Linked DNA regions of Xenopus tropicalis. The protein of the gene in region 1 purifies or fractionates together with the protein of each later gene. This does not show direct contact. Links are inferred from orthologs where the notes say so. Each region holds a gene or a part of one and is shown in the gene's direction. Other genes may lie near its edges.

What was found. Proteins that work in one complex are often made in the same cells at the same time.
Region 2: the proteins of klhl6 (region 1) and nudcd3 purify together in Homo sapiens (affinity purification with mass spectrometry; 3 studies listed by BioGRID and IntAct, counting the BioPlex papers as one, with this or other methods). This does not show direct contact. The link is inferred for Xenopus tropicalis from reciprocal best matches to the Homo sapiens genes KLHL6 and NUDCD3.

The regions. Positions count from the first base shown.
Region 1 is NC_030681.2:127,024,049-127,030,485, reverse strand, and holds part of klhl6 (kelch-like protein 6), read left to right. Parts: intron 1-3,470; coding exon 3,471-3,636; intron 3,637-6,437. UniProt on the Homo sapiens protein: Involved in B-lymphocyte antigen receptor signaling and germinal center formation.
Region 2 is NC_030679.2:126,201,297-126,207,733, reverse strand, and holds part of nudcd3 (nudC domain-containing protein 3), read left to right. Parts: intron 1-873; coding exon 874-1,006; intron 1,007-4,326; coding exon 4,327-4,470; intron 4,471-6,413; coding exon 6,414-6,437.

The DNA.
Region 1 (6,437 bases):
TTCAGAGCATAGGTAAAAACTATCTTGGCATAAAAAATTTGTTGTAGCACATGCAGAGAATATATGCCTTAAAGCAGACCTCCATGCTTGGACAATTATCTCCTGTGTGCCATAACCATCAAGCATTTTGTCCTACTGACTTTTCCCTGGGAATGTCTAATAGACAGGAAAAAAAAGACAAATCCCATGACCCATAGTATGACAGAAATAGGTTGTGGACAGTACAACAGAGTTCAGAGTTTGGGGGGGGGGAGTCACTGGAGCATTTTCATCTCCCACTGAAGATAATGGATTTTGCCTAGCCTAGGTTGGCATCATTTCTTGGCTTTTTGTGTCCTAAAATAAATTCTGCACTTTTATGCTAAGGCAAATGGGCCCTTCGTCATTGAGTATGGCTACATATCAATATAAAATCACAACGCAGAAACTTTTCTATTGTCAAAATATAACTTTTATAAATAAAAGAATACAAAAATTGTTTGTAAATATTTACCATATTTATGCCAATATATATATATTTATTACAGTGTCTATATGGACTTTTCATTGCTAGTACAGGTATGGGACCCGTTATCTTTCTGTAATTCGGATCTCCTGCCTTAAGTCTACTAAAAAAATTATTTAAACAGCAGTTAAAAATCCAATAGGAGTGTTTTGGTTCCAATAAGGATTAATTATATCTTAGTTGGGATCAAGTACACTGTTCTGTTCTATTATTACAGAGAAAAAGATAATCATTTTTAAAAAATGTGAATTATTTCATTAAAATTGAGTCTATGGGACATGGCCTTTCTGTAATTGTGAACTTTTTTGGATAATGGGTTTCCGGATAAGGGGTCCGATACCTGAACAAGAAATATGGTAGTTCCTTGTAATAAAATGTAATAATATAAATATGCAACCTTTTCTGAGCATACAGTAAGGGGGTGATTTATCAATGTTCAAATTCAAATTAGAATCTTTTTGCGCAAAAGCTCCCAAAGTCTAACAAAGGTAATAGTTATTATGCGCAAAAAATTAGAAACACTTGAATGTAAAACCTTGGCATCTAACACTTGCAAGTTCCTGTAGAAGTCAATTGGGGTTATTTTAGGCAAACATTATGTGGTCTTTCAATTCATGGGTTTTTTTTTTTTGAGAGTTTGTAGACCCATTGAAAATGATAGGTAGAATATAAATATGATACATTTGAGGTTTTTTTTCATGGTTTAAATGAAAATGGATAGTTGAAAATTGATAAATAAGCTTTATGTTTTTCCCTGTGCTTTACTGTCTGTGTCTCAAAGGAGAACTAAACCCTAAAAATGAATATGGCTAAAAATGCCATATTTTATATTTTAAACTGAATGCACTAGTCAAAAGTTTCAGCATCTCCATAGTAGTAATGATATAGGTCTTTACAGTTGTCACATCAGCTTCCCATTTTGGATTCTGTTAGAACTCTCTGGGACACTGCACATGCTCAGTGGGCTCTGGGCAGCTGCTGAGAAGCTGAGCTTAGGGGTCGTCATAAACAATTAGGTTGGCCTGTCATATAAACTGATGGTATAGGGCTGATTATTAAATTCTGATTCTAACAGCTGATTCTAACTGGTTTCAAAGCTGCCATGTAATGTGAATTTAAATTAATTAGTAATCAGCCTTTTATTGGGACATTTCTATTCTATATATGCAGTATATTGAGAGTGGGTCCCTAAGCTCAGGTAAGTGACAGCAGCACAGAGCATGTGCAGGGAATCAGCAGAAAAGAAGATGGGGGGCTACTGGGGCATCTTTGGGGGCACAGATCTTCCCTGCTAAAGGGCTGTGGTTGCCTCAGGCTGGTACAGAAACCAAAACATAATGTACAACATTTCTAGCCTACTTCTTTAGTTAGGCTTTAGTTCTCTTTTAACTCATTTACTTTGTAAACACGTATAAACCTTTGCACGCAAAGGATACATTGTGATGTGTATGCCTTTTGCCCTAAAGAACTCTGTAAAGCTTATAAGGATTTATCTTCTAGTTCATGTATGCAAACCATAGGCACACATCCTTTCTAATGCAGCTGCTTTGTGACCTGTGGAGATAGGCAGGTGAAGCGGGGCGGAACTGGGGCGGAACCAAACAATACCAGAGGACTGATAGCCACTATATGAGTGATAGGAGATTCAACTGCCCTGCTTCCCCTGCCTTGTTTTGCTTAGATAAGCCCCAGGAGGGTCAGTGACTGCTAGCACTACTGAGCTGGAGAACTGCCGGCCAACAGAAGCCATTTATATACCTTCTTTTTATAACTCTTTTTATTTATAAATACAATATGTTAAATGAAATCTGTACAAGTAGATATATTGCTCCTTGTTTATGTATTAAGCGTGGTTCACAAAGATTTATTAACTACACAAACTAATGGTGACAATTGCAGTATTTCTGTAGGGTTTCTCTTCTGTCACTATAGTGTGACGCTTATCTTATTGTATGCACAGAACAAAGAAGATATACACTGCTTATAAAAAAAGGATATATATTGAGAGAGTAATAGTCTAAGAATATTGGTTTTCATTTTTTATTATTTGTGTTTTTTTTAATTAATTTTACTTTTTGTTAAGCAACTCTCCAGTTTGGAATTTTAGCAGTTATCTGGTTGCTAGGGTTCAACTGACCCAAATAGAAAATCAATAATAAAAAGTAACAATTACAATGAAATTATAGCATCACAGAGCAATTGTTTTTGGCTGCAGGGATCAGTGACTAGTGATGAGCGAATCTGTCCCGTTTCGTTTCCCCGCAAAAGATTTGCAAAATGGCGAAAAATTCACACAAAAATTGTTGCATGCATCAAAAGAATTGGCGCACAGCAAATTTTCCAACCCGTTTTGCGAAACAATCCACCAATGGCGAAACGCAGAGATTTGCTGCAAATCCATACTTGCCAAATAATTTCGTTCATCACTATCAGTGACCCCTGTTTGAAGGTTGAAAAGAGTAAGAAAAAGAATTAAAAAAAAACTATAAAAAATAGATAATAAAGACCAATTAAAACGTTTCGTAGAATTGTCCATTCTGTAAAACGCTAAAGGGCATTCTGTAAAAGTCATTTCCGCAGATGTCAGTCACTTATCAAAAGATCTGAATTGAAAAACACAAAAGAAGAAAGACGTGGAAAAATGCTAAACTTTTTCAGTCAAAAAAAACCAAAAACCTCTAAAACCAAAGATCTTCCAGTTGTACAAGCGACATCTGCCATTAACTTCTACATGAGTAATAGGATAAAAATCTATTTCTCTTCCATATTTCTCTGTAATAATAAAACTGGATCTTGTACTTGATCCTAACTATGCTACATGAATCCATGTTGGAGGCAAAACATCCCTATACCCTATACCTTAAATACTGGAACTACAATTTCAAGTTGCTTTTTAACTAAGCCATTTTAAAGTTGTTATTGTACAATGAATTCACTTGACATTGTTATTTTGCATGTCTCCCAGGGCCATGTTCTGTAATGACCTGAAAGAAAAATATGAAGAGAAAATTATAATCCAAGGAGTTGAGCCAGAGACCATGCAGATTATCTTGGATTATACTTACACAAGCAAAGTGGTGATTACAAAACTCAATGTGCAAAAAATCTTGGAAGCTGCCAGCCTTTTCCAGGTTTGTGAAATAATCCAGTTTGTTTGGGCACTTATTGCTTACTGGCTGATTAACAACATTCATCTATGCATTTGTCTTCCATGAGGAAATGTCCGCCACCTTGGCAGTGACAGGAAGGTGGAAATATACGGTGAAGCTGTAGTGTATATTATAGGCAGGTAAGACAGGGGCTTACAGACTGCATATTGTATATACACTACTTCCTCGGAGGCTATTGATTTATGCAAAGCCCACAATCAGTGGAGGCCACAGTAACCGCCCCTACTTGGACCCCTAAATATAACTCTGACTGATACTTTCCCTGCAAGTGACATACGTGCGAGCCATAAGGGAAACATTCAGGGCATTCCGTGAGTGTTGCACATGGTGCATTCATTCTGGGTGAAAGTCAGTGTCATTCCAAGACCAGTCAGTAGAAACCCAACTATGGGGCCTATTTATTATGCTGAAAAAAAAACAGTGTAAAAAGCTATGTAAAATAAATGGAGAATTTTGCCAACTGAATGCCAGATTTTACGCCATTATTTTATGTAAGTTCCGGCAGAAGAAAACATGCATAAAGATGACACCGATTTTACAGTAGGGGCCGAAACAAACCTCAGGGACCTTCAGCAGCAAGTGATCACTAGACATTCAGAAAAGGTTTTCAGTAAACCGTAAAATAATATACAAAGTACAGGTATAGAATTCATTATCCAGAAACCCAATATCCAGAAAGCTGTGAAAATACAGGAATGCCATGTAATAATCCCTCCTACTACCCTGTAACACTCATTTCCCTTTGGTGTGAGCAATGGCTGCCCAATTTACCACTGTTGCTGAGCAGTGTTAATGAAATTTACAGCCTATCAACAGCTGGAGGGTCATAGGTTGAATATCACTATAAAAAAGAGAAAAAAAACACATTCATTCTTCTAAAGAAAAGTCCTTTATTCCATTAACTGTAAAAACATGTGAGGCTACTGTGAAACAAACATTCTGACGGGTTTTGGAAATAGCCCTTAATCATAGGATGAATATCCACCATTAAAGAAGAAGACACTTTAAATTACTGGGGGGTTCTAAATGTAAGCACCCCCAGTGATTCAGATTGATTACCTGATACCTGGTTGGTTACCAATTAGCAGAAAATTACACCAGCCCCGGGGGGTGGCGGATATGTAATCCGGGTGCCCCGAGGCCGCCCCCGTCCGTTGCCCCCACCCCCCCCACACATTCACTGCAATCTGGGGCCAATGCATTGGCAGTAGAAACAAAAAGCCAACTTTTTTGTTAAAGTACAGCTTTTCACTCTACTACGGATACGCAGCTGGTGAACAAAGAAGATGGAAGAGGGTTTGCCCGCTCATTGGAATAGTACTGCAAATGGCAGTTTGTGCAATTGCCCCAGACACAGAGCAGTTAGAACTGTGTCATTCTATGGAAGTGATTACAAATGGCATGCAAAGATGAACTGTCATTGCAAAACATTTAGTTTCTGTATTACCCAATGTATGTAGTCTTTTATCTATCTTGTGGGAACAGGGCCTGTCTATTTTGATGAGGAAACAAAGTCGGTTTTGAAAAAAAAGGGCATCACACTACTCCGCCTTTGTAAAAGGGGTTATCTAACACATAGTACTCAGGAAAAGCAGAAGAAAATAACTGATTGTGGTTTCACTTGTTTACTAAACCACAGTCCAAAGGTCAAATGATCGGATAAACCCAGTTGGCTCATCACCTGGGTGCAGTTGTTTAGCACCCTTGCCCAATGAGTGCATGAGCAGTTCCCCCAGCATAGATACATGCCACAGCAGAGCTGAATAAAAGAAAACATAATTCTGAGAAACCCTCCAATATGAATGTGTTAACTTTTGTAATTGTAATAAATGTAATTGTTGTTGAAAGCATCATTTGCTTAAAGGGGAACTCCACCCAAACACAACTTAAACTTTGTCAAAAGTAAACATGATTTCAAGCAACTTTGTTATATACATCAATCAAAAATATGCATGATTTTTAATATAATAAAATGGTTTGGATCAGTTACCTAAGCCCCGCCCCCTGTTCCCCTGCTGATCTGGCTGACTGCTTTGAGACTCATATAAAATGTAACAGTAGTCGACTGTCTCCTCAGCCTGCATCCTCCAAATCCCACAATTCTCTGTACACGTGATGTCATTATGTATTTCCTGCATGCTGTCTACGCTATGGAGAAATTATTACAGTTTGTAACATCAATGTTTAAGTCCCTCCTCCCCTGCCAGGATTTTAAATTATGCAGAAAGAGAACTGTTTTGCAGCAGGATTTCAGCATATAAAAATGTTATTTATTTATACTTTTTGAAGGACTACAGTGATTGGTAAATTAGCGGTTTATTGGAAAGTTGCTAAGAATTGTGTTTTCTTTTATTAGGCAAAATTTTGTTTTTTAGGTTTAGTGTAAAACCTGGTTAGGGGCTTCATTCTAAAGCATTTTTGGCTGACTTTTTTTTATTAAGGGGCAAAGTGTGGACCAAATAATTCTCCTGCAACAGGGCATTTCTCATTTTTGCCACTCTGTGCCTCTGACACAGACTGGGGAACAATTTCTTCCTTATTCCAGTGATTAATATGGCAATTGGTCTGGCACATGATCAATTTAGTAAAATACATATTACATAATATATATTATATTATATGGTATTGTATTATAATATATGTAAAGGCTAGGAAACCCAACTATTGCATTTTGCATAAAGAAAGTAAATTTTACTTTTCTATTAGTTTTATTCTGTTCTTATTGCTAATAAAGCAGTGTGTGCTACTGGCTTCACTGCTGA
Region 2 (6,437 bases), on another chromosome or scaffold:
AAGCAAGGGTATTGCTATATTGCTGTTCTATTTTACTTGCTGTTTGCGTTCCTCCATTGTTTGTACTCTTTTTCAGTATCCCTGAATCTTATCCATTTTACTTGCTTTTCCATACATCTTTGATTCATTCTCATTTTTCCCTTTTCATAGTCATTCCTCTTCTTCTTTTTTTTTTATCATCTGGATCTGTCTGCACAGCATAGATGGTCTCCCTGAAGCCTACCAGAGATTGTTGAACTACTACATCCCTTTGATCATCATTAACTTCTGTAGGCTTGTATTTTGCCCGTTCCTACTCTCCATCGTTGCCCTCTTCTTCATTAAAGGAACAGTAACAGCAAAAAATTAAAGAGTTTTAAAGTAAATGAAATATAATGTACTGTTGCCCTGCACTGGTAAAAGTTGTGTGTTTGCTACAGTAACTCTACTATAGGCTATATATAATAAGCTGGTGTAGGCCCGGGGGCAGCCATTCAAGCTGGAAAAAAGGAGAAAGGGCACAGGTTACATAGCAGATAACGGATAAGCTCTGTAGAATACAATAGTGTTTTATCTGTTATCTGCCTGTGCCTTTTCTCTTTTGAACAGCTTCCCCCATGGCTACACAGCTGCATTCTTTATATAAACCATAGTAGTGTTTCAGAGGCAAACACACCAGTTGTACCATCGCAGGGCAGCAGTACATTATATTGGAATTTCTTTTATACACTTGAATTTTTTGGTGTTACTGTTCCTTTAATGTTTATAGCTTGAGAACTCCCTTATCCTCTTTGAGTTATTGCAATTTTTTTTCTATGTTAGATCATTTGGTTTTTGGAAATGATTAAACCCCAACTCTTATATATAAGTATATGTATATTTGCATCCATTCAGGGAACAAGAAGACTACCAAGCTGACCCTGACAGTTACAATGGAGCCATAAGAAAGAATTATGTTTGGTCTCAGGATTACACAGATGTGGAAATTAAAGTTCCAGTGCCTAAATCTGTAATAAAAGGTCGGCAGGTAAGCAACACCATATTTATTGAGTAACTTGTGATATACAGGCGGGCAGATGTAGTTTTATTACAGAAAACTGAGAAGAGACAAGTCCCAAAGACTTGTGTCCTAAAGGGGGCAGTGTAAGGCAATGTATGGTTATGATGCTAACTGGCAAGGTGTTTGCCTTATAGAGCCATTTTCCCAGCAGAGGGTGACAGAGATCAATACATTGAAGGATCTAGAAACTGCTTTGGGGAGGGAAGTAAATAGAGTGGTATGCCGCAGTGTGTAACTGTGTAATTCTGCATGTCTGGCATATAGTTTATCACAGTAAATATTAAAAACATATACCAGGTATGAAATCCATTATACAGAAAAATCTGAAAAACGATTACCAAAACCTTCCCAAACATCCTGCTGGATAATAGATTCCATACCTGTACAGTCTTTTATCAGACAGTAATGTGTTATATGATTATATCATTTTCCCATGTGAAAGACTGGAATCTGTCATTTGTAAACAATAAGACTAAACTGTGCAGCTGTAATGCCAATTTATTTCCCAGTATGGGTGGTAGTACAAGTGAGAGAAAGTATACAGATGCTGCTACAGCGTTAGGGTGAAGACACACCGAGCTACTAGTAGCAGCTACTTGTCACGGCTGCTAAAATAGACAGTGCTGATCATTTACTGGTAATTGTCTCTATGTGTGTTTTAGCAGAGGCACTTCTCAGTATTGTCTATGGCATGGTATTTTCTGGAGTTAAGTAGCCATGAAAAAGTAGCTGCTACTAGTAGGTCTGTGTGTTTTTATCCTTGTGTATTTCATGCTACTATTCTGGGCAGCCCCAGGTGGTGTGATAGAGAACTTCGCTGGGCAGGATCATATTGGGCCAGCAGGATACTGGGACAGAACCTTATGGGCCCCTTCGAGAGACCTCTGCTGCTGGGGTGTGGGGCTCTTAATGTAGCGGTGGCCCCCTGGTGGAACCCAGACACGCCACTCATGCCTGCCTCTGTCCTTAGGATCATATGTGACCTGTTCCCGATGCTAAAGCTAGGGACGACCTCCTGCCATCAAATGGATTAGTGGCAAAAAACAGGGCAAGCTCAATGCAAAGGCAATACTTCAGCAACTAATAAAAAAAAACTGTCTTAGGATATCACTGACTTCATTAAAGTCAAAATTATTTTTAAGATGAACTTTCCATTTAAATGGGAGAATATTTAAGAGGTTACAAAGGATATCGATACCCATGAAAACTATTTTAAAAATACATATTGATATTTTAAGAAAACTTTTAATAAAAAGAAAGGCATTTTAGTAAATAGAAAAATAGGAACTATCTCACGTATGAAGATACACCTATCTGCAATGTAGATGTGTTCACATCCGTCACAGTGTACTTACGTGTAACATAAATACCAACATACATAAATAACCTCACAATTTGTCATGAATGTCATGACAATAGTTGTGGTAGGGACAGAGAACCCTGGGGAGATATGTTTGTATGCATATTTATATTTATTTATATAGTGCTGCTTGTATAGCAGGGAAAATAAGTATTGAACATGTTTTTCTTAGTAAATATATTTCTAATGGGGCTATTGACATGAAATTTACACCAGATGTCTGTAACAACCAAAGTAATCCACATGTACAAAGAAATCAAAACAAATAAGTCCATACATTATGTGTAGTAAAGTGAAATGACACAGGGAATAAGTATTAAACACGCTGAACACTGAAATGTATTTAATACTTAGTAGAAAAGCCTTTGTTGGGAATGACGGATTAAGGCGCCTCCTGTAGGAGAAACTAGTGGCGTGTATTGTTCAGGTGGGACTTTGGCCCATTCTGCCACACAAACTGTGTTCAAATCTTGAAGGTTCCAGGGGCCTCTTCTATGAACTCTGATCTTCAGTTCCTTCCATAGATTTTCAGTTGGATTCAAGTTGGTTGATTGACTGGGTAATTCTAGCAGCTTTATTTTCTTTCTCTGAAACCAACTGAGAGTTTCCTTGGCTGTGTGTTTGGGATCATTGTCTTGCTGAAATGTCCAGCCTCGTTTCATCTTCATCATCCTGGTGGATGGCAGCAGATTCTATAATTATAGAATTATATGAAGTCTGCCAGTACCATATGCTAAAAAACATCCTTACACCATGATGCTCCCATTACAAATTTGTAATGAATGTATATTGGAACATTGCTTAGAATTATTATTATTATTATTGTTATTATTGTTATTATTAGGCAAACATTATTTTTGGGGGTTTTTTTCTGTGTTTGCATAATGAAAAAATTATAATGCCAAGCAACATCCAAACATAAATTTGTATTTTTAAAGTTACTTGTAACTATAATTGATATTAAGAACAGTGGGTTTTATCCCTTTCTATGGAGGTTCTGTTATCTTTGCATATTAATTTAAATGAATTGTAACACCAAAAATTGTGTTTAAAATGTAATGTACTTTTGCCCTGCACTGGTAAACCTAGTGTGTTGGCTTGAGAAACAATACTATAGTATATATAAATAAGCTGATGTGTAGCCATAGGGCCAGCCAAGCTGGAAAAAGGAGAAAAGGCACAGGTTACATAGCAGATAACAGATAAGCTCTGTAAAATATAATGGTGTTTTACAGAGCTTATCTGTTATCTGCTAAATGACCTGTGCCATTTAGCCCTATTTCAGTTTGAATGGCTATTCCTGTGGCTACACAGCAGCTATATTTACATAAACTATAGTAGGGTAGGGGCAAACACAGGGCAACAGTACATTATATTTGAATTACTTTGATACACTTTAATTTTTTTGCATTACTGTTTCTTTAAAACCACAGAACACTATTAATGGCTGTATATTGAAAAGAGAATATACAGCCGTGTTCATTTTCAATTTAATTATGGCCAGTTAACAGAGTTAAAACAAGTGACTGTGAGTGGGCAATACATTTGCTTTAGCATGGAACTTTGACCAAATAAAACCTGGGTTCACATTATTATCTCATATTACAGCCCCCAACAATGAGCTTATAAACTGTACATAGATAATAATAGGATGTCCTATCCAACCACAGATATCATGGGGATTAAGAAGGAGCTCTGCTTATGGAATCAGGTTGGGAACAAGCTGCATATTATTGTTTACTAACTCATTGCACAGTATCACTGTGCTTAGCTGCTGACTTGCATTGCACAAAATTACCTTTTCCAAAATGGCCCCCATTCGGTATCTTCTGTGATACCTGTGCTACTGTTGCTGTATTGAGTAAAGGACAGAGCACCTTTGATTCTAATGGGCGTATGACTCCCTTGTCTGCACCCTCTTCCTCAGGTGTCAGTGGACCTGCGCAGTAGCTGTATTCGTGTGGCGGTGAGAGAAGGAGGAGGGGAACGTGTTCTGGTGGAGGGAAGCTTTACTCACAAAATAAATGCAGAGACCTCTCTCTGGAGTCTGGAACCTGGAAAGTGTATTGTGGTAAGACTCTTTAATAAGATACTGAATCTGACTTGTGTGCAGCTTGTTAAGGCATATATAATCACTATGAATAATCAGGATCTTTTATTTCCTTTGAGACTGGTGTCAATCATGAGCTGAATTATTCACGTTCCCATGTGTTCTTCCATGCCACTCACTTGCCATTTTTTTAGGTCAGTTGTAGAGGTGGGTGCCTTGCTAGGTGACAGTAATTAATTTTGTTATACAGAATAAGCCCTCTGTTACTGCCATCAGCATGGTCCCACCATGCACCCTGCATATAGATCACATGGGCCATGTCTGAGAGACCCACAACCTGTGGTTTAATCTTCAGTTATTATCAGCTTATTGAGACTTAGCAGGACCATACTCCCAATAGAACTCCTAAATAATTTCTACACTTAGATCAATAGTCAGCTTGGCCATACTCCTTCCATTCATCTCACCACTTAATAAGAACAAGTTGCTGGCCAGCTCCTTGGTTACTACCCACTCCTCTAAACTTTGTGGTTATAGGTGGGTGTATAGCAGTTTTTAAAGAAAAATGAACTTATACATTATAAATACACTAAAGCGTTTGTTTTCTCTCTTATTGCATATTTAAAGTTTCCTATTCTTGGTACATCTGGCATTTGGGTGCTTTATGGTTCTGCCATTAAATTTTACTCTCCCTGCTAGTTTTCTTTTGGAAACATATTTGATCTCATGGATTTTGTTATTAATAATGATACAAGTTTGCATCTGTATTCCTTCCATACTGTATTAATAACTACTTCTCTGGTTTATGTAGTATTCAATTTGTATATATTCAACTTGTATCCTATTTCTGATTCACGGGTGTTTATTCAAGTTTATTTGCATTGACTCAAAGTTCCCCTAAACGCCTTATCCCTGTCTTGCTTTATGGCTAAGATATTAGATATTTTTAATTCTATGAGTGTCCATTGAGCTCCTAAGCTCTCTGAATAAACATTGTATAGCATTTCCGTGCTCCCCATATTTCATTTTCAGAAACTTCTCTTGCATCTTTCATCCTTCCAATGTAGTTTGTGTGTAGTCATATGGTAGATTCCACCAAATTTTCATTCACTCCCTTATCATGACACATCTTGATTTGCTGCAGTCCCCTGCTGTCTGGTTTTTCACTCTGCAGGCTGTCTGCTTTACTGTCTACAATAAATCCTGCTGCAAAGCTTATTCATCTTGCTAGTTGTTCCTCCTCCCCTGACAGTGCCTCAAGAGTCCTTCTAGAATTATATCTAAATAAACCCAATGCCTACCCAAATTCTTTACATTCCAGTAAATCACCACTTCATGAGTTTATGTTCATCCCATGATCTGCTTCTTTTACAACCTTTCTCCATTATGCCTTCAAGACTTCTTCAGGGGCTCTACGTCTCTCTTTTTCCCTTTGTGCATTGTAATACTTGCCTCCACATTTCACCCATTGCTTTCCTAAATGGGACTATAAAACGCAGGATGTTGGTATGCAGCTAACAGTTCTGCTTCAGGGTCCAAAATTGTCTCATCAGTCCTGCATTCTTCCCCTTTTTGTTCATTAATAATCCATATGCAAGTTTGCAACAAACCTATTATCATTATTCTTAATAAAGCGCCAACAAATTGAGCAGGGCTGTTACATCCTTCACATGAGTCCCTGCCCCAGTGGAACTTACAGTATTAGATCCCTATCATATTCACACACTATGGGCAGTTTTACCAGGAGCCATTAACCTGCCTGTTTGGAGTGTGGAGAAAACTACCCAGGGGAAACCCATACATACACGGGAAAATATACAAACACATAGGTGATGTTGCTCATGAACCTTAATTCTCTAGGCTGCCAATTAACAAAAGTGCTGCAACCCCTCCATGTATCATTCAGAACGTGATGAAACTTTGTTAGTACATTGTATTTAAAGTGTAGTGGGAACTCTCCACAGATCAGCTTGAGTAAGTGTGGCGAG